2 linked regions of the Bombyx mori genome follow. The protein of the gene in region 1 binds, or shares a complex with, the protein of each later gene. Links are inferred from orthologs where the notes say so. Each region holds a gene or a part of one and is shown on either strand. Other genes may lie near its edges.

The links. Proteins that work in one complex are often made in the same cells at the same time.
Region 2: mediator of RNA polymerase II transcription subunit 4 (region 1) and mediator of RNA polymerase II transcription subunit 7 share a complex: the UniProt entries of both Homo sapiens proteins name them as parts of the mediator complex. The link is inferred for Bombyx mori from reciprocal best matches to the Homo sapiens genes MED4 and MED7.

The regions. Positions count from the first base shown.
Region 1 is NC_085112.1:8,185,262-8,196,587, reverse strand, and holds mediator of RNA polymerase II transcription subunit 4, read left to right. Parts: upstream 1-4,205; 5' UTR 4,206-4,461; coding exon 4,462-4,529; intron 4,530-4,602; coding exon 4,603-4,783; intron 4,784-4,922; coding exon 4,923-5,074; intron 5,075-5,521; coding exon 5,522-5,700; intron 5,701-6,248; coding exon 6,249-6,424; 3' UTR 6,425-6,592; downstream 6,593-11,326. Other genes in the region: peroxidase, read right to left, coding at 817-935; putative inner dynein arm light chain, axonemal, read left to right, coding at 8,349-8,435, 8,514-8,645, 9,261-9,410, 9,541-9,669, 10,460-10,657, 11,050-11,085. UniProt on the Homo sapiens protein: Component of the Mediator complex, a coactivator involved in the regulated transcription of nearly all RNA polymerase II-dependent genes.
Region 2 is NC_085119.1:10,076,352-10,087,883, reverse strand, and holds mediator of RNA polymerase II transcription subunit 7, read right to left. Parts: upstream 5,606-11,532; 5' UTR 5,406-5,605; coding exon 5,220-5,405; intron 5,148-5,219; coding exon 4,879-5,147; intron 2,406-4,878; coding exon 2,201-2,405; 3' UTR 2,074-2,200; downstream 1-2,073. UniProt on the Homo sapiens protein: Component of the Mediator complex, a coactivator involved in the regulated transcription of nearly all RNA polymerase II-dependent genes.

The sequences.
Region 1 (11,326 bases):
ACAAGTATAATATAATGCAGTCTAAAAAACGAAAAAAACTACTTGCTACTTTTGGTTATGCTAACATTAACTGAGTTCACGAAATATTATAATGATAACATTCTCGCGTTCCTCACTACATTGTTATGTTGTTTGTACCTACTGTATTACAAAACTAGTAATTAGGTTAATATCTTTTTCCCTTTTGACCTTGCGCACTACGAAATAGTAGTGAGAATATTTTATATAACGTAATCTCAATATCGTAGATATAGTTGCATAGGTTTTTTTGTATTGCATAGAGGATTGAACGGTCCACCTGGTGTTAAATGGTTACCACCAGAGTCCACGGACACAGCAATGCCTAATCGTCGAAGTTTAAATTTCATTGTGTAACGGCTGACCTACCTTTGAAACCAAAACGCATGATTTCTTCACGGTAAATATAGTTAGGTAAGTATAATCCATATCTTACAAAAATTCATACACCCAGTAAAAAATCAGGTACAAATATTATTCATTTTTAAATAAGAAAACACGAGGAACATTCACCGATCGTTATAATAATATTATGGTTGAGGCCAAAAATAGCAGGCGTGTTGTAATACATTTCATGCATTTTTGCAGTTAAATTGTGCATTTTAATGTTGTAGATGACCAATTTGAGCATAAGGCGAAGCGTAGTTACCTACTTCTCAACTGTGCTATTTTATTTTCATTGCTAACGGAGTACGCCGGTTAATAAATAATTCAAGTAAAATTAAATAGAAATTGAATATTATTCTATTTCATAACACCTTAAGATACCATCTTCGTTAATGAAGAAGGTATACTTACGTGGAATGTTCACCACATCCTTCACATTCCGACTTTCTTCTAGAACATCTCTCTGGAACCTTATTCTTGGTGTCGGCATTCAACACGGACTTTCCTTCAATGATCCGTTTAAACAACATAATAGTAGTAACAGTATTTGTTGTTTACGACAATTGTCGCGCTTATGGCGAATGTTTGATTTGTTTAACACGATCGCAGACGACACTTGCTCAAAAAAGCGCTGTTCCATTAGATTGGCAGAGGAGCCAATTTCACCTCTACTGCCAAACTCGGACTGGAACTACTCAGTTACGTACTTCCACTTCGAAGTCAAGCTGACGATCGAATCGCTATTCGCTACACAAATGTACTGCTCTCCCTCCCCGCGCACACTTCATTCCCCGTGTGACGCCATTCTATAGAAACTTTGCCACAGATTAATCATGATACAGTAAGTAAGGTATGATTAATTTTCAAAGATCAGAAAAACTATTATTCGTTTCAATGATGTATTTATGAATTAAATTTATAATGATAAATATACTTTAATATCTGTCTTGCTATTCATCGAAACAAATAGAAATTAAAGATTCTTGAATTTTGTTCACTTGATATTAATATAATTTACACTGTGGTTTTACAGCTCATAGGGTCTTTATTGCCGTGTTAATAATATGTGATACATTTAATTTTACTGTGGGCCTGCCCTAAGTTGATAAAATAACTTTCAACCCGCTTGGGCTTAATTAGTTGTCGGTGTCCAAGCTCATTGATATGAAATTAATGACTGTTGACGTTTTCGTTCATTTCAATATAAGTCTGACCATAATATTCCCAAACCTGACAAAACTCTTAATTTGAACCAAATTCTGTACTATTGTCATTTAAACAAAACTTTTCATGACCACAATCCACGTTACAATGTGTACAGTAAAACTCTAATTTTCTTTATATTTAATTACCATGGCACACTAACAAATGTCCACGAGCACGTGCTGTACGCATGCTCATAGCGTGTTCAATCCCCCCTCAGGCTTCGTCGAATGCAACTTTCCCCTCCTCCCTCTCACGTCCCTTGTACCAGCTGATCACGCGTTCACAGCGTGTTCAAGCCGGTTTCTGTGAACTTGCAAACGCATTCAAGAGAGTGTTCTTTTGTTTACCATAATATTAGGTTTTACTGGAAATTGCATCAGGTTTGAAATTGCGAATGCTAACTTGCACACTGATAAATTAATACGAGGATGTGTAATCATAGGTTTCTTTAAAATGCATCATAAACAACAACATAATAATATAATTCTTTGACATATTGTATTATAATTTCAAGTATTATGTCGAATTCATCTACAGATCTATTGCGTAAGCTACATTGAAAGTAAGTTCGAATGAAACAAATTCAATGGGCTATACATGAATCTGTCATGAGCATACAAATACTACGGAGGATCGATAAAAAAAATAGTTTAGCCAGGTTGGTTCAAATTACTTCCGATTGCCACTAAGTTTATATTTGCATAGACGGTATTTAGACCCTTCTGTCTATTGCTAACTGTACCAAAATCAAATGTTTAAATCAAACGGTAGTACAATTTTTTATAAAAACACTTATGCGAGGTTTAAACTCCTAAATAAACCCTGTTATGATTACGAGTATTTATTTGACATATTCTTAAATGAAGTAAAGGATAATTAATAACTTTATTAAGTAAGGAGTATTGGAACCGGTTGGGAAAATAAAGACAGGTGTTATTGATAGTAATTCCTAACACAATAGCACTAAAAATGAGAATCTATTTTTATGAATTTTAGCAAATTTTTTTGTACGGAGCTCTAGCAATAAATCAACTGAAGCCCGAAATTTATGATCTCGAGAGAGTGCAAGGCAAGTCTGCTTTTGCATTGTAAGTTCTCCTATTGCAAGTTCGTGAAATGCAATCTAACATATTTTTTTTATTGCTTAGATGGTTGGACGAGCTTTACGCCCCACTCGGTGTTAAGTGGTTACCGGAGTCTATAGATATGTACAACGTAAATGCCACCACCCACCTTGAGACATGAGTTTGAAGGTCTCAGTTTTAACAGTATAACGTCAGCCACACCCTTCAAACCGAAGCGCATTACTGCTTCACGGTAGCAATAGGCAGGATGGTGGTACCTACCCGTGCGGACTCACAAGACATCCTAACAACACCATTCTTTAACTCCGTATTGACTGATTATCGGAAGATATAATATGAGCATCACAGCGTGTAAGTAACCATCCATTTTGATTGAATTAAGGATTCGAAGTCTCAACTGTTTTGTCTATTATCTTGCCCTTTATACCGAAACGAATAACTGGTAGGTGGCAATAATAGGAAGCTTGGTCGTAGATACGTATCTACAACCTACGCTATACCGCCAATAATTACGAATTATAAATAAACCATAACAATCAATATCACAATCTTTCAATCCTTTTTCAGTATTCGCAAGTCTAATAATTAATAGAATAATTTTTTTTGTGCAGTGTTTCAATAATTTTGATGGAATCAGATGTCCTTTATTTTGAGAATATTTTTATTACACCAATATTGTATTTCTTCTGACAAATATTCTGAACCTGTGAAATGGTTTTTTTTTATCTAAGCTTGAGAGCTATGTCAGTGTAACTTATTAAGTAGGTGAGCTCACGGGGATCTAACCTGACGACGTTGCTAACACTAACCCTAGCAAGAGCAATACTTTGCAGAATCTACCACGGGATCGGAAACGCGACCCACTGAAAAGATCCGGCGAGAAATTCAGTGGGCTTTATTTGTGGGTTATTTTACTAGCCGAGCCTTCGTCGCAAGCGATGGGTTCAACGAGAACGATGAATGATGACCAAACGATGTTCAAATTCATGAAAGTGCACAACGGGTAGAAAAATGAAACGAAATCGCTACATGTGGTTTTTCGGAGTCTTTCAATTAACGTCTCAGGAAATAAACACGATTTTACTGAGAGATCATATCATAATAACTAGACTCTACAATACTCTACATGGGTAGGTACCAGCGTACTGTGTATTTCTGCCGCCAAGTAATCATGCATTCTGATTTAAAGGGTGGAACACACTTTATAGTGTAAAATAGAAAAGTGAAGTTAAAGTTGGGGGCAGCAATCACTTTGTGATGTCTTTAAGCTCCGGTAACTACTAATAGGCCTTGAGGTCATTCACCCATCTTCATAAGAAAAAGTAAATCATCTCATCTCGTTACCAGTAGTAAATTTTATTTTATTTCTTATAACGTAAATAGGCTACGGCCTTATAAAACAAAGTTTGTAGATATAAATTATACTGAAACTCACTTTAAAACTAGAAAAACTGTAAAAGTACGAGAATAAGTTTCTCTATATCATAGAGAAAAATATTTCAAGGCTCTACTAATTATTAGTCTGTGCTTGCTGTGGAACATAGTCTATGACTTTCACGTTTGTCGTCTGCTGTATTGGAAACATCAAACAATGTTATTATTTTTACTGTAAACATTGAATGTAGTTACCACGTACATAGTAGCGTTTTTGATACAAGAAATCCCAAGAGTCGCAGCGTTGGGGGGTCGTTTGTCCAGTTCATATGATATAAGGAAATAATACATATCGTTTATATTAAAAAAAGCTGTTAAGCTATATAGAGCTATGGCGTCACATTTAAGTACTAAAGATCGCTTATTGGCACTAATAGATGATATCGAACTTATTGCTAAGTGAGTTAAAACACGATTGAACTGTGGAAAACATTACCGATCAACTTCATGTTCTAATTCTTTAAATTTTCAGGGAAATAATAGAAGTTTCCATAGCACCAAAACCACAGAAAGTGTCCGCTGCAGATCATGCTCAGTTGACGGACCTACTTCTATCAAAACATGGAGAATTGAAAAAAACATTAGACCTAGCTGACGAACAAGCAAAGATCCAACAGAAAATGAATGAACTCAAAGCTGAAGTAGATAGTAAGGTAAATACTACAAAAGAGATTTATTTTAAGTAAAAAATGGATAAAATTTTGGAGTGGACTGACTCATCCACTGCTAGTTCACAACAATTTAAGCCACAAGCGAATTATGTAATTGAAATGTTTTTGTTGTGTTACTAAGGATCAAGATATATATCACCTTCAAAGACAATTGAAAGATGCAGAACAAATTCTGGCTACATCACTGTATCAAGCTCGACAGAAACTTGCATCAATAGTGAAGTCTAGAAAGAGACCTGTACCCTCTGAGGAGTTGATCAAATTTGCACACAGGTTAGTAAACAATTAAAGATTTCTACATTGAAATTAAATATTTTTTCTGAGTCAGGTCCTTAAAACACATGATGAGTACTCCTAAATATTGAATATTAAATATTTATGATCTCAACAGAGATTTCAAACCTGACCAATGACAACAGTGAGACAATGATAGTAGGCACATTGACTAACAAATAAATCAATGAGATGTTTAGTATATTAACAGTTGATTAAGTTTATTAATGCAAAAAGTCTGAATGGATATTAGGTATTGTGTCTGAATAGCCAACAATGTTATGAAAATAACTATCTACAGAAAACAGTTTCTTTCATAACTATAGAGTTACACTTTAATTAAATTACATTAAAAAGAATTTTTAAATATTAGACAGTACACTATTTTTGATGTGAGAACTAAATAGTACTTAAAAAAACTTTTTTTGACTTACTGATATTTTACAGAATAAGTGCATCTAATGCTGTCAGCGCACCTTTGTCGTGGCAACCTGGTGATCCTCGTCGGCCTTATCCAACTGATTTAGAAATGAGATTAGGAATGCTCGGTCGCCTCTGTGATCTGCCATTGAATGGTCACACGCCTTCTACACTGAATGAACTTCATCGTATAACAACTGGTGGAGGTATAAATGCATTACTCATTATATTAATGAATCATTCTTAGAACAAGTTGCATATGTATAGAACTCTTTGTGCAGTACATATTTATACAATTCTAGTATTGGTACTTTATCGTTATAGTTAATTTGATTCATCTACAATAAGCATGTATTATCATAGTTATTAATAGCTATGAGAGAAGTGGGTGATAGGGAACACCAAACACCTAAACTACTCAGCAAGTGCTTTGGCAGATATATCATGTTTTGGACCACTGTATTAAACTCAAATATACAAGAATAATATTTTTCAGGAAAGTTGAATTAATGATCAAATTTCTATAGGATTTGTAAAGAATAAAAAAAATCTCCTATGTTATTGCCACCTCTTTTTATTAATATTGTCAACAGAGGCTTCCTTCAAAACCCATAACCCATGGAAATTATTTAAGAATATTCTTATCATCAGAATTTTACAGAAACATTTTACCCTTTTGTTAATTGCATTAGGTAAAAAAAACATGTAAAACCATTTGCTTGTTAATCAGGTTTACTGTGTTATATTATTTCAGTACCAGCTTCAGCTTCAAGCCAATTCACTTGGCATCCATCAGGCGAGCTACACATGTCTGTTGGAGGCGGTAACTCTGTAGCTATTGATGGCCGAGGGAAGGATGCTCCCAACCAAGAAGATGTTGAAGTTATGTCCACAGACTCCAGTTCAAGTTCAAGTAGTGATTCACAATGAATACAGAAAAACCGTGGACTTCATTTTGATTAAAAGTGTAGTGCAACTCAACAAGTTAAAAAGACTGATGCTTGTGTTTATTATGAAAAAAATATTTGTAGAATTAATTCAAATGTTATTTAAATATCCTCATAGAAATGACATAATAAAAAAATTTATTCCACATAATCGTTTTGTTATATTTGAACAAAAATTTAACCTCCAAATTTATTTTTCGATATCTATGCACGCGAACTCTGCGATTAAGAGTTGGAAGTGCGAACTAGCCTGTTGACATAACCCAAACAGTTTCTCGTCAGTTCTTCTCAGTGGGTTGCGATTCTGATCCTGTAGGTTTTAACGAAACATTGCTCTTGCCAGGGCCAGTGTTGGCAAACTCTCTCAGGTGGAGCCAGTGAACTCATACACGTCCGCGCGTTCCTGGAATAGCCCCTTAGGCTACCAACGAATGGGTAGGTAAAATATATCAACGATCACGAGGCCCGATAGCACCGGAATATATTACAACTAATACTACTCATAGGAGTTGTATAAGTGTTTGGAGCTTTAAGACAACTTAGTCCGGATACTATTGCCCCTAGGATTTAGTACTTTAACATTTATTTTATTACTGGTGGAAGGTCCTCTTGTGAGTCCGCGCGGGTAGGTACCACCACCCTGCGTATTTCTGCCGTGAAGCAGTAATGCGTTTCGGTTTGAAAGGTGGGGCAGCCGTTGTAACTATACGTAGATCTTAGAACTTATATGACTTATATCACAAGGTGGGTGGCGCATTTACGTTGTTGATGTCTATGGGCTCTAGTAACCACTTAACATCAGGTGGGCTGTGAGCTCGTCATCCAACTAAGCAATAAAAAAAATTACTAGGTATTCCTGATAGCTCGTTAACTCGCAATGTTCGATTTTATGAAAATATCTTGGTGGTGGCCTAAGTGAATGTCTAAGCTGACTTTCAAAAACTTATGGCTTTATCTATATTCGTTTCAACCAGAAAGTTCATGTAATGTGTATTGCATTCCATGGTAAATTTGGTTTCGCAGTCCCTCAGTGTACTATGAACGATCTTCGTTGTAATTTGGATACACGGTTCGCAGCCTAATTGCTATGATTACTTTTTCAGAGCTCATTCTAAGTCATTAACCGTTTCATTTCTATTATCACCAACACGTACATGTACACAAATTAAATTGACACTTATGTCGACCTGATAATATCAAGCTTCGCTGTAGTCTATTCTATGGCCAACAAGTGCTTTGAGAAGAGTAGCTCCCATTTTAAATGTCTTATCTATGGCCTAGCTATCGCTAAGGACGTAGGTTTTTTAAAATAAATACCCCACAATGTCATCCGCGCAAGCATTGATAACGTAGGTATGTACATCTTCGTTTGGAAGACCGATGCAGTCGTCCATAATATAGCAGTTTTTATACTTATATCACATTAAATAAGATACACTTTTTACTAGGGAAACGTAAGGTTACTAGGTTTTTTTATTGCTTAGGTGGGTGGACGAGCTCACAGCCCACCTGGTGTTAAGTGGTTACTGGAGCCCATAGACATCAACAACATAAATGCGCCACCCGCCTTGTGATTTAAGCTCTAAGATCTACGTATAGTTACAACGGCTGCCCCAGCCTTCAAACCGAAACGCATTACTGCTTCACGGCAGAAATAGGCAGGGTGGTGGTACACACCCGCGCGGACTCACAAGAGTCCTACCACCAGTACTAGTAGGTTATAAAGATTATTAAAAAAGTATAAAATACTAGGCAGATGCTAAGAGCCGTTGCTATGGAAATAACATTTTGCTTGACAATTTGTCAGAGAGAATTTTAGAATCACTACGTTTTAATTTGATTACTGCCACGATAACCGTGACTTCTCAAAAAGTCAAATAGGTATTTTGCAACAAAAACAAACGGAAATGGGAGAACGGGCACCGGTATCTGCAGAAGAGACGTTAGTCCGTTACGACAACCCAGTGTTGGTGACTAAAAGACAGGAAAAAGTTGTAAGATTTTTGATTTATCAAAGGATCTTCGTTAATAAAAAAATAATGTTCATTTTATAATAAAAATGTTTTACACAGCCTTCCCCGAGAGCTGGCGCTTCAACACAACCGTGCGTACCCACCGAAGCAAAGAAAGAAACTGAAGAGATCTTAAATGCTATTTTACCCCCGAAAGAATGGGAGGAAGATGGACAAATATGGACACAAAAGGTACTACAATTTGCAGCTGTAAAATAAAGACAGACAGACTTGAACTTGACGGCCCAATTTATGGTAAACTGTTGATACCACCAGTAGGCCCCGGGCACGCCAAGAAGACAGAAAGGGCGCTACACAGAAAACACTTAATGATCGTTTGTAGAACGTTTCAATGGTTCTGAGGTTTAGTTTTTAGATGGTTGGCGAGCTCACAGCCCACCTAGTGTTAAGTGGTTACTGGAGCCCATACACATCTATAACGTAAATGCGCCACCCACCTTGAGATATAACTAAAATATATAATAATAATAATAATAATTTATTTATTAACCTTGATACATTTACACATAACAGTTTGCTAAAAACTCTCCACACTAGGCACTGCCTGTCTCGTGGAGAGTTTTTTAAATATAATAATAAATATAATATTCTTATAAGTTCTAAGATCTACTTATACAACCTTTCAAACCGAAACGCATTACTGCTTCACGGCAGAAATGGTCAGGGCGGTGGTACCTACCCGTGCGGACTCACAAGAGGTCCTACAACCAGTACCACCAAGAACGGAGTATTCACTAATTAAATGGATAAAAATATTAAAGTTCATTTGTTACCGTTATATTGTAGATTTCTTCTACTCCGGCGACCCGTTTGGACGTGATAAACCTGCAAGAAATGCTCGATACTCGTCTGCAGCAGAGACAAGCCAGAGAAACCGGTATATGTCCAGTTCGAAGACAATTGTACACCCAATGTTTTGATGAACTTATCAGACAGGTAGTTTCTTTCAAATAGCGTGAAATTTTCTTAAGAATCTCTTCTTAATATACATTTCAAAATACGTTGAAATAATCCAAAGAAATCGTGTTTTTGTTATTGAAAGTAGGCTTGAATTTTCATTTCGAAGGTAACGATAAACTGTGGGGAAAGAGGACTACTTCTGCTGAGGGTGCGGGATGAGGCACGAATCACTATGGAAGCTTACCAGACCTTATATTGCAGTTCTATCGCGTTCGGTATGAGAAAAGCTCTACAGGTGAGGTTCATTTAAATTACGATTTACTAGATTGACTGCTGAATAATTAAAACATTATGGAAATACGAAAAAAATAATTACAAAATATATAGAATATATCAGTTATTTTTCACCTCTCTCGCGCCTTTTAACAGTCAACTTTGAATCGTAATTCGAAGGTCATCGTAAATTGTGAAGAGTGTAACCGCCACCTAATGTTGTTTTTTATCATTGCCTTCAGATTGTGAGGTCTCAGGATCTTTTTTTAATTGCTTCGACGTGTGAACAAGCTACCGGCCCACCAGATGTTAAGTGATTACTGAAATCCACAGACCAACTGTCGATGTCGCGATGACTTCCGAATTATAATAAAGACAGCGTATGTGTGAAATTACTTAGTCCGGAACGAGCTCCACTCACGATGATTTCTGAATGCCATCACACGTTTACCTCGAAATTTAATTTGAAGAGCCTTCAGCGGTAAGCTACCGCACGTTTGCGTTGAGCTTTGCTTCTTTTACATATATAATTGTCATATATTTTATTGGTGGTAGGACCTCTTGGGAATCCGCACGGGTAGGTATCACCACCCCCCGCCTATTTCTGCCGTGAAGCAGTAACGGGTTTCGGTTTGAAGGGTGGTGCAGCCGTTGTAACTATACTGAGACATTGGAATTTATATCTCAAGGTGGGTGGCGCATTTACGTTGTAGATGTCTATGGGTTCCAGTAACCACTTAACACCAGGTGGACTGTGAACTTGTCCATCCATCTAAGCTATAAAGAAAAAAAAAATTATTTATATTTTATAGTCGGAACAAGGGAAATCAGATCTCATGGACCAAGTGGCTAAGTTAGAAGCGGAACGGTCGACCTTGGAGAAGCAATGTATGGAGTTAAAGCAGAAAACGGAACAGTTGGAGAGACGGGCCGCGGAACTTAGGGCCGCTGAAGAGAAACGACATCAAGAGGAATTGTTAGCTTTGAAGAAAACTAACGCTCAGTTGAAAGTAAGTTAAAGCTTTAGTGCCATAAAAAGCAGGCAAGCCTATGACTCCGACGACCGCCGGTCCTGTGTTCCGAGGGGGAGGGTGATGGGAGCGATGTGCTCCGCACTAAACGCTTCACTCTCCCCCCTTTGCCTTTTCATGAGTTCTGTCTCATGCGAGGCTCGGACGTGGGTTGTTGAGCGACAGGAGGTTTTAGTCGGTTCGACTCCGACATACCCCGCCCGCTATCCCCAGTGGAGGGTAGGAGTCCGGCGATTTCCTCCTGACCAAAAAAAAAAGCCTATGACTCGCCTAATCGTTTGAGGTTACTATGGGCATTGCCACGGATATTGCCATTGAAGATCAAATTAAATGATTATTTTGATATTTAAATTATTTTTTCCCATTTTCAGGCGCAACTGGAAGGAATTATAGCACCCAAGAAGTAACTACCCGTCAAAAATTAAACTGTTAATAGTTTTAATACTTTTAAGTTCTTTTATTAATAATTAATGAAATGTAAATTTTATCATACGTTACATGTTTGTTGATAGTAAAATGTTAAACGATAAATGATGAATTCGAAATAAAATGAAAAGTTATTAATTTTATTAAAATATATATTAAACCATTTAGTTGGGACAAACATACAATAATTTCATTAGTTTACAATGCACGTATTTACTCGCT
Region 2 (11,532 bases), on another chromosome or scaffold:
CGAAGGCGAAAACGAAAGCATCGACGAATTGGAGGATCCATTATCAATTAATCGAATGGAAGAGAGCGACTGCTTTGTGTTTTTTGGCAAACGAATAAAAAATAATCCAAAACAGTTTCGCTTCTACCTACGAATGTTAAGAACTACATTTTTTTGAGTTGATGTATCTGATACAAATTTACTATGACATGAAGACACACGGATTGAAGTGAGGCAGGCCGGACTGGTTGGCGTTTTTACATAGAGTTAGTATTTTAGGTACCTACTTATTAACTCCATGCGTTTTTAGGAGACAGTAGACAGTACAAAATGACGTCTACGCTGCGCATGCGCGGCGTGTACGTTGCGCGCCCGCTCCGCTTTAAGAATGATCGCACGAGTATAATAAGTATGATAAGGCCCTAAAATGTGCACTCATTGATTTTTAGATGATGATTCTAATTTTCAATACATTGAAGTCCTATTGTAGTGGTCCCATTGCGAATCTACTGGTTACATAGGTTTTATTATATAGGTTTTACTATTTATGGTATAGGAAATTATTTTAAATGAAATCACAATATGTTCATACATACTGTAAGGTAAAATAAATAAGATAATAAGAATTAATAATAAGATAATAATAATTATTATAATTAAACATGCAGAATAGTAACAAAGTTCCTGCAGCTTGAAGAAAACCAAACTTAGGTACTACACGTAATAAAAACTAGTATATTGACTCATAGCTACCGTATATGACTTGGCCAAAAGCCCGTATATACCTACAGTTCTACCGGCTCTGTCGACAGACTGAACTGAGAAAGGGGAAACCTATGAACGTAATAATAATTAGCAAGATTGACTTGAAAGTTAATACACTTTTTTTTACTCTACCTATGCTGATAGCCTTGAGAGGCTATTTCAGATTCTCCTTGACGTGTGGGTGAGCTCACGAGGCTCAAACCGGAGTGTTGCTAACACTGGTCCTAGCAAGAGCAGTGCTTCGCAGAATCTACCACCGGATCGGAAACGCGACCCACTGAGAAGATCCGGCGAAAAATTCAGTGAGCTGTGTATTTGGGTTACTTTACTCGTAGTCCTTCGTCGCAAGCGAGGACGGTGACCGGTGCTTGAGGTACCTAAAAGCACCGTTAATGGATCGGGAGGATCCGTAATGACGTGTTTAGGGCGACGTCAACTGTATACCATTTGGTCCACAGGATCGGTTATATAATTTCCGTGTGGGACAAGTGTGTTTTTGTGTTGTGCCGCCTTCTCAAAGTGGCGCAATGATGCCACCTTCTCAAAGTGGCGCAATGATGCCGAATGGAATCCGGCTATGGAATGAGCTCCCCTCCACGGTGTTTCCCGAGCGCTATGACATGTCCTTCTTCAAACGAGGCTTATGGAGAGTATTAAGCGGTAGGCAGCGGCTTGGCTCTGCCCCTGGCATTGCTGAAGTCCATGGGCGACGGTAACCACTCACCATCAGGTGGTCCGTATGTCTGTCTGCCTACAAAGGCAATAAAAAAAAAAAAAGAATGTAAATACTGACCGAGTCAAGCTTCACATCATCATGGAGATCCATATTCCTTAAGAACCATGGTGCTCCGATGGCTATCTTACAAAAACGGGTTTGAATGACTTGAAGGGGTTTCAAGTTGGTGCGGGCCGCGTGACCGAACACTACGCTTGCATAGGTCACGACGGGGCGTATGCAAGTTTTGTAGTGTCACCTTATTACGAAGGGACAATTTACTTCGCTTGCAAATCATGTGATAGAGGCGTCCTAATATGAAGGCGGCAGGGTCGCGTACCGTTTTGATATGGGGTCGGAATGTCATCCCTGTCGAGGTGACGCTTAGATATTTGACCTTCGAGGCCCACGGTATGGGCTGGCCAGAGTGATGGGGCTAACGGCGGAGGCGTTAACCCGCCTATTAGGGAGTGGGTTGCTCGAAGTGGTATTCGGAGGGCGATCCCTTTTGGAGAGCATCGCTGTGCTTTTCGTGGGATTGATGTCAATGCGCCACTTCCGGAACCACTGTCCCATAGTGGCTACTACAATCTGGAGTCATTAATACACTGAGGTAGATGGTTACAATACTTTTAATATAATAATTGTTAGTACAATTGCCTCACATAAATCTAAATCCTAAGTATTGGAGTTGTTTATTGAGTAATGGATTTTAGCAGTCAGCCATAATTCACATAAATACTATCTCATATTATCAACTACATTGCACATAATTCTATCTAATTCAAAGCAGGGATCAGCCTTTTGAATATTGCAAGTATTATTTTCCATTTGGTCCAACAATTCATTTGGCACTTTGAAATTTGATTCCAATTCATTTTGATCTGGTAAGCTTTGGAGAGCATTCTGTAAAATATCCTGTACCTTGTCTAAGTGTTTCTTGAATCTGAAAGAACAGACTTTATTAGCTCTTATAACTGGATTAGGTTCCATGGATACCAGCATCTTGTCTATTTTTTGCTTCAGAGAATTCACACATTAAACCAAAGTCAAGCAACAATGGTCCGAATGGAAATTTAACTTGTAAGGTAACAGCTGTCCATCCACAAAAACACGACGATAAACAACAAATAATTTTCGAGTTCAATCTTGTGTTATAATATACTAGGCTGCACTAAAAGTATCGGGAATGGAATATTTCTACTGTTCCTGTCATATTAAAATCTTTTTAATTGAAAACTCCTTGGTTTTAAAAATCGAATACCATTTATTTATTTTAAAAAAGATTCTCGGTCTTGTCACGAGGTTTTGTCAAACTTGTTTAGTCGTTGAGAAAATGGAATTGACTCGAGAAAATTCAAGAGCGATGATTTATTATGACTTTCGAAGTGGTTTAACACAAAAACAGTGTGTTGACCGGATGATTTCTGTATTTGGTGATGAAGCCCCATCCAAAACCACAATTTATCGCTGGTTTGCTGAGTTTCAACGTGGACGTGTCAAGCTCAGTGATGATTCCCTTCAAGGTCGTCCAAAAACTGCAGTCACCCAAGAAAACGTTGATGCTGTGCGTAAGCTGATTGAGGAAGATCGACATGTGACATACCGCGAAATTCAGGCAACTTTAGACATTGGCATGAGTCAAATACAAATAATCTTGCATGAACAATTAGGTGTAAAAAAGTTGTTTTCCCGATGGATACCGCATTCGCTCTGTGAAGAGCAAAAAGCGGCTCGCGTTACTTGGTGCGTCAGAACTCTCGAAAGATTCCACGCAGGATCCTCAAATGCTGTATACAACATTGTATCAGGTGACGAATCCTGGATATACGCGTACGAACCCGAAACAAAAAACCAGTCACGAGTTTGGGTGTTCGAAAATGAGTTAAAGCCAACAAAAATTGTTCGTTCACGGAGTGTTGCAAAAAAAATGGTGGCCACGTTTGTCTCCAAAACCGGCCATGTTACGACTATTCCTCTTGAGGGACAAAGAACGGTTAATGCAGAATGGTATGCTAGCATTTGTTTGCCACAGGTCGTTTCTGAACTCCGTAAAGAGAACTGCAACCGCCGCATCATCCTCCATCACGACAATGCGAGTTCTCACACCGCGCACAGAACAAAAGAGTTTTTAGAGCAAGAAAACATAGAATTATTAGACCATCCGCCGTACAGCCCCGACCTAAGCCCTAATGATTTCTATACTTTCCCTAAAATAAAGAATAAATTGCGTGGACAGAGATTTTCATCACCTGAAGAAGCTGTAGACGCCTACAAAACGGCCATTTTGGAGACCCCAACTTCCGAATGGAATGGTTGCTTCAATGATTGGTTCCATCGTATGGAAAAATGTGTCAAATTTCGCGGAGAATACTTCGATAAGCAATAAATACATTTTTAAATAGTAACTTCGTCACTTCGTTAATTCCCGAAATTTTCAGTGCCGCCCTCGTAGTATCAGTAAACAATATCTGCTAATTTCTTTTTTTTTATATTAAAATATTTTTGTATATTACTCAAAACAGTTCAAATTTGGAAATCTCTAAAAAGTGCAGAGGGCAGATTTTGGTTTGAAAAAGATGATATGACATTATGAATACTAAAATTTTTTTATTGAGACAAGTTTAAGGTTTTTTACTGGTGGTGGTAGGACCTCTTGTGAGTCCGCACGGGTGGGTACCACCACCCCGCCTATTTCTGCCGTGAAGCAGTAATGCGTTTCGGTCTGAAGGGTGGGGAAGCCGTTGTGACTATACTGAGACACCTTAGAACTATAACTCAGGGTGTGTGGCGCATTTGCTTTGTAGATGTCTATGGGCTCCAGTAACCACTTAACACCAGGTGGGCTGTGAGCTCATCCACCCACCTAAGCAATAAAAATAAAAAAAAATTAAACTCATTACAAATCTGATTTTCATTATTCTGCTTCAATATCAAACATTGGGAGAACTTAATATGACTTTGTGTTTAACAGCCTATGGTAAGATTAAACACAATAAATTTATTCAGGTTCTACTAATTATAAATAAATTAACATAACATTGATGGGCAAAATGTCTGGGAATCTCAATCATGAAGGTACTGTGGTAACAGATAAAAATGTCTAATCACTAGTGGCACCTAATGTTTCCAACCAGTGAAAATCCAACCAGTGAAATTTAAATCAGACTTTCACATTACCACCCAATTAAAGATCATATTATAATGTTAAAGCCTAAAATAATAAAGGATAAGTCACACACTTAATGGTTATATCATGTGTGTGGCAAAAACATAACTTAAATATTTATGTTGGCATCTTTTTTATTTTGTCATTTGTGATCTGAGATCTATCTTTATTTTCTAGAATGGTTCCTTGGTGTCCAGTATAGATATAGTAGAAACACCAACATATGACAAATTAACGCTATTAATAGTACCTTGCTGCAGTTTCAACCCTCTGTCTTTTCTGCAATTCCATCATTACTCTCAATGTTTCTCTTGCTTGGTGTGGCCTAAATTCATTTAGAAGATGATGTATATGAATAAATAACAAACTTAGGTCTTCTACTTTTTCTGCTCTCTTTGGAGAATCTGGACAATGAACAAGCAAATCCAACAAATCCAGAAAATTTGCCAGCAGTGAATGGTTAAGTTTCTTCAATTCTCTTCTTCGTTCAAAATGCATAGGATACAATCTTCGAAATCCCTGAAGGAATTTTTTACAACGAATTATTTACATAAACATTTGTGTTTGTAAACTAGTTGTTTTAGGACTTACCTGGCTTTCTAACGAACGTATAATAGCATCATCAGCGTTAAAAGAATTACCAAACATTGAATAAGAATCATGAATAGGTCGAGGTGGTAGAGGAGCTCTATTTCTTCTAACATTTTCATCCGTGTAAAAATTTATATATTGCATTGGAGGCAGAGGTAAAGAGCTAACTTGAGCTGTCTCTGACATTGTGAACCGGGAATCCGTACGTACGATTCTAGCAAACACTTAATAAAAACGGAATATGCCTATATTTACAAAAAAAGATTTACATACTCTTAAATATTGTGTTAAATTGAAGAAATTTATTTTAAAACAACTTTACACACTACAGTATGAAATGTATGAATTATTATGAGCTTTGTCTATGCTTTCTAAAAAATAAGTGTTTAATCTATGCTTTAGTATGCTTTTTTTGTTTGATTGGCCTTATGGATAAGCAAAGGGAACATAGCTCATATATTCCAATTTTTGCCACCAAGGTCGAAGGTGTTGTGAAAGTTAAATGAACTTCAATTTAGAGGTGAGTTTATGACAACACCGTAAGTGTGGACAAAATGAAGTGAAGTAATTTTTCGCTAAAATTCTGAGAATGTACTGAGTGTTCAATGAACCTTTAGAAAAAAAAAATCCCGAACTGATTTTTGTCGAAAGATTTTTGATGTTTTATAACCAAAAAGAAATTTCATGTAAACAATTTGGCTTTTATAAATAAAATAAAAAAGATGTTTTATGGGCTTTGTTCCTTTAGCTTTCGCAAGTCGTGGAGACAATTAACTATTAAGGATGTTACAGGAAAGATTGGCAACAAACTTAGGGGTGGGGTGTGTCTATAAAATCATTTAAAATGGTTTCATAAAATGTATCACACAAGAAAATCAATGAGTAACTAAGATCTGTTAAGTGTATTATAACTTTGCAAGATTCTGGTGTCTGGATTGAGCTGGATCAATTGGATTATAGCAGTAGGCTCTCATACAGAGGACAATATTTTAGGTGTGTGGCGCATTTACGTTATAGATGTCTATGGGCTCCAGTAACCACTTAACACCAGGTGGGCTGTGAGCTCGTCCACACATCTCAGCAATAAAAAATAAAAAAAATTAAAAGGCACATCGCGATTGCGATTAAGTGGATACACGAAACTGCAGTTTGACAGTGTGGCGGGTAGCCATCATACAACGCAAGATGATTGACGGATGCCTGAATCTCGCTTACGACATTTTCAAGATCAGCTTGCTTATATACAAGTTCCGAACAACAACATTCGGACCGTCGGTCTACAGAGCAATTATCACCCGCTCGGTGGAAGATCTTCCCTTTATCGTATATCTACAGTAATAGTTGGCCCTACTGCAAAGCATGCTTTCTGTGGCGGATGCCTAAGTTTCGAGCTCTGCCTTATCTTGAAAATGTCGTAAGCGAGATTCAGGCATCCGTCAATCATCTTGCGTTGTATGATGGCTACCCGCCACAGACAGCATGTTTTGCAGTAGCGCCAACTATTAAGACTTGAAAAAATTCAATTATTCGCTAAAGACAATAAAAGTAGTTTTATTTACATTTCATACGTAATTGTATAACCCAAATAAAAAATGAAAAATGAAATAAAATATCTAATTTAGCAGACCTTTGGCAGGAATTCGGGATGTAAGTTTTATGAATTATTTTATTTGATCTGTATATTTTATATAATTTATAAAAAAATTCTTCAGTTTTAATCCAAGTTAAATTTCTTTTCATAATTAGTTCCATTTAATTTTTCATTAAATAAACATGGTGTGAGATAGGTATGTTTAGATACCAAATAATAATAATAATAATAAGAGTATTTTAGATCGCATAACCGTATGGAGGAGCAAGGAGTTACACGGTAGGTTCTACCGGGCTCTCACAGGGCCTGATGTAGACCAATTAGCTTCCGTGGCCTGGTTACGATTCAGTAACCTCTTTGGGGAAACTGAAGGTTTTATCTTTGCAATTATGGACGAAGTTATCATGACGAACAACTACCGGAAATATATTATATTAAAGGATGGGACGGTCGACATTTGTCGGGCATGCCACCGTCCGGGAGAGTCTATTAGACATATTGTTTCTGGATGTTCTCGGTTTGCTAACGGCGAGTACTTGCATAGACATAACCAAGTGGCTAGGATTATCCATCAACAACTTGCTCTGAAATATGGTTTTCTTGATTCTGCTGTACCTTATTACCAATACCAACCTCAACCAGTTCTTGATAATGGTCATGTTACGCTCTACTGGGACCGATCTATTATCACGGATAGGTATATTGTTGCCAATAAACCTGATATTGTGATAATAGATCGATCTGCACGTCGAGCAGTGTTGGTTGATGTCACCATTCCTCATGACGAGAACCTCGTGAAGGCAGAAAAGGACAAATTAATAAAAAATTTAGACCTGGCCCACGAGACTACCGCCATATGGCATGTTGATTCAACCATCATTGTTCCAATAGTTGTATCGGTACACGGCTTGATAGCGAAAAGTTTCGATCAACATCTTAAAAAACTTTCGTTATCCAGCTGGGTTAAGGGCCAAATACAGAAAGCAGTTATCCTCGATACTGCACGCATTGTGAGGAGGCTTCTCACTCTGGAGTCCTAACCACTGGTGGCTTGTGTCGTAGACACCGCCATCAGCGGCAATCTATTTTTATATAGTGTTTTTAAAAAATTGTATTATTAATATCTTTTTTAAAAAATATTATGTAATTAATAAGATTTTAAATAAATATTAATAAACAATAATAATAATACGAGCCGATTCTTTGGCCTTAGATAATACCGTTAATTGTTTTTGGCTTTAAAACAGAAGACTTGGGGGCTGTATGGGCTACGTTCCTCTCTATCGAATATTTAAATTTAAAATAAAAAACTAAATTATCCTACAGTGTATAATATGTTCCTTTTTTTAGCTATAACTAGCATACCTAGATATAACATATCTAAACGATAGATTAATATTAGATTAAGGTTCCATTGTTAATCGTCATAATCTTTTAGCTAATCAAAGGTCGAAGCTAGCTACCTTCCTTAAAGAATGCACGCGAACACTGTCATTGAACTGAACTGTCACTGAGTTCACACACATTTTTTCACTTTCAATAAACGAAAGAAGATACCACATTTTAATTGGTGATAACAGATGAATAGTTAGTTATGTTTCTTTTGCGCTTATTATTTACATAGATTCTGCAACATTAATGAATTGCAAAAAATATTCTGTTTATGTTCAGTAATGACTGAAGTTCATTTCAATGAATCAAAGTACTATTACTAACTATTATGACTTCAAAAGTACCTACCTGCTCTATTAGTACATTTATTTAAACTAAAAATAATAATTTAGTATTTAAAATAATAATCATAATTATTATTTAAAATATTTATAAATTAAAGGTTAGGTTACTTAAAGTACGGGCATGCATTCGAATTAATTTCTTCGAGTAAACTAATGAGTAATTGAGTATGTTATATTTTTCACATTTCTTACTTCGTTCAGCAACACAGCGAGGCCATATCAGGTGAATGAGTAAGCAAACCTATGACCGCCTTGAGCAAAACCGACCTGTCCATCTCCTATTACGATGGAAACTATCTTTAATCGAGACATGAATCATAGTGCTTACCTCAACTGCCGGTCTTCGAAGTTATCAAAAGCTAGGGTCCTTACTTGGCCGGCAACAAGACAGCCCAGGGCCGTGTTCTATATGTAAATTTTCGATACGAGAGTAGAAAACAAGGCAACTCAACTAGCGCCTCGGCGGGGCGAGTGAGGGAAAGCTCTCCTCACTACGCAGAAACCCGCCGCCGCCGAGCAGGGGGTCGGGACCGGGGTCGTATCCGTGACCTGGCCCCCTAAGAGCTAGGGGTCCCACCCGTTTTGTGTGGGGAGAGACCCAGACGTGGGGTGGCGTGCTTGCACGCTCACCCGCAATAGGAAGCCGGGTGATGGCAGACCGCGTTCCCCCGACCGCTCTGGGGGAAGGTGTAACGCGGCGCCATCAAAGCGGGCTCTCGGCCCGCTGAACGAGGGAACCGGTGGTCGTGTCGCTGGCGGCCACCGGTCCGGCGTCCGTGGGACGGTGGGATGGATGTAATGTGCTCTGCGTCAACCCTGTCCCGCCGTTTCAATAGCCCCGACTGGGCTCCGGCCCGGTCCGAGGTAGGGCGCCGGTTGTGAGCGGCAGGAGTTTTTAGTGAGGTTCAACTCCCACATACCCCACCTGCCGCGCGGGTGGGGATCCGGCGATTTTCTCCTGTGGGAAAAAAAAAAAAAAAAAACTCAACTAGTGCCTACGGCGAACCGTGTACTACGAAATTTGTATGGAATAGGAACAGCTTCCCTTCGTTTGCCGCTAGGGGCGTTGTTCCAACTCCATACAAATATGAGTTAACTTTTACGCAATCGAGAAGTTGAAAAACTCGCACTAAGTAGACAGGTTGTGGAATATTCAATCCCAACATATCCACGCATCCATTGTAAGCAAAGACCCACATCTATTAATTTCTCAGATCAATAGGTATGGGGCAATCCTGATTTCACACTGCTTTCTGATTTGGAAATTAATACTTTAAGCCAGTTCTTTACATTGCCGTGTCGCTCAACCTTGACAGGACTGTTCAATTAAACAGCTCGAGTTATCTTTTCAACATTTTCAAGTATAATTTATTTTAATGTGTACCTAACTTTTCGTTCAATGTTTTTCAGCGATTACCTTGCGGCATTAAGAGATACATCTTATCAGTTATTTCCAATGCTGTTGTCTGTGTCAACCCTATTATAATGGTAGCTATAGGTATTATTCTTCCGGCTATTGTTTTAGAATTACCCTTGATTAAAACGGCTGTCTGGAAGATATTACTTTTTCTAATGTGGGAGCCCCTTATACGAATTATATTTTTTTTGCCGCACTGCGCTTAGGTAACACGTGGGACTTTGGGACTACAGTCCATTAGAACTGCAGTTCCGTATCACTGCTGTCATACAGTAAAGTGCGCTTTATTTTGCGTGTGCATTTTATTTTCTTTAGCAGCGAATAATTGATTTTTTTCAAGTCTTAATGGTTGGCCCTGCTGCAAAGCATGTTGTCAAACTGCAGTCCCGTGTATCCACTTAAATTGACATTCGCAATTTTTAGTTTGTCCTCTGTATGAGAGTCTACTGCTACAATCCAGTTCAATCCAGACACCAGAATCTTGCAAAGTTATAATACACGAGGCTGCATGGCCTCACCCCATCAGGTTGCCCTGTGATCTTCACCGGGTGGAGGCCGACTCATACAAATAAAGAAGCTGGACCAAAGGCCTACTCCGCCCCCGGCATGGTGACGATGGATCATTGCGGAGAAGGATGAACTCTTCCTCTTTGGTTCCGCCACTTCATTCTGCGAGATGGTGGACTCGGAGAAATCTAGCATCGTTATTTAGATTCGTTGCTGCCGTGTATCGTAGCCATGATGGTCGGCAACTTCAATTCGGGTCTTATTTGCGCGATTCACTGTCGGCTTCCTCTGGGCAATGTGGTGCAGGTACCGGCCGAAACACCCATAGCCAGTCAGTACCGGCATTAACCGGAAGGTGAAACATCCTCGGTCACAGTTCATCACGGTGCGAGGAATGGGCGCACCGCCTCGATGGTCCGTAGACCGTAAGAGCAAATTACACCAACCTTTTGACTTACTTTCAAAGCTAATTATGTTTTGGTTTGCAATAAACTCTATTTTTTTTATTACATGAGTGGATGTGCCCCTGCAAGTGGCAAAAATGGCCCTCTATTTTTGCGTTTACGGAAGCCTTTATAAAGAGAATGTTACCTCAACCTTAAAATATAAAATGGTTTTTCTTACAACAAATGAGACTTCAATATTCGCGTTATGATGCCCACGGGCATCTATTTCATAAGCTAACTATTTCAGTTGGTTTAGCGTTGAACCTGTTTATCTATCTAGAGCAACAAAAAGTAATGGATCACGGAGAGCATTTTGACATCCCTTTCAAATTTAGTCAAAAAGTGTTTATACCCGCCCTGTATATCGCATACAACAAAGGTTGAACTAACTGTGAATGGATAATTGTTAGCATCCTATAATATCTAGTATTATAAATGCAGTTTTGCAGCAATTTTGTTTGCTTGCTATTTTTCGCCATACCATATCGACATTAGCAATGCCGGAAGCATAGCCAAACCGCTGCCTACTCCCGCTTTGTTTGATTGTCACGCTTCCGCGTCTTAACTATTCAAACGATGACCATGAAGGTTTGTATGCACGTTGTCAGGGGAAAAA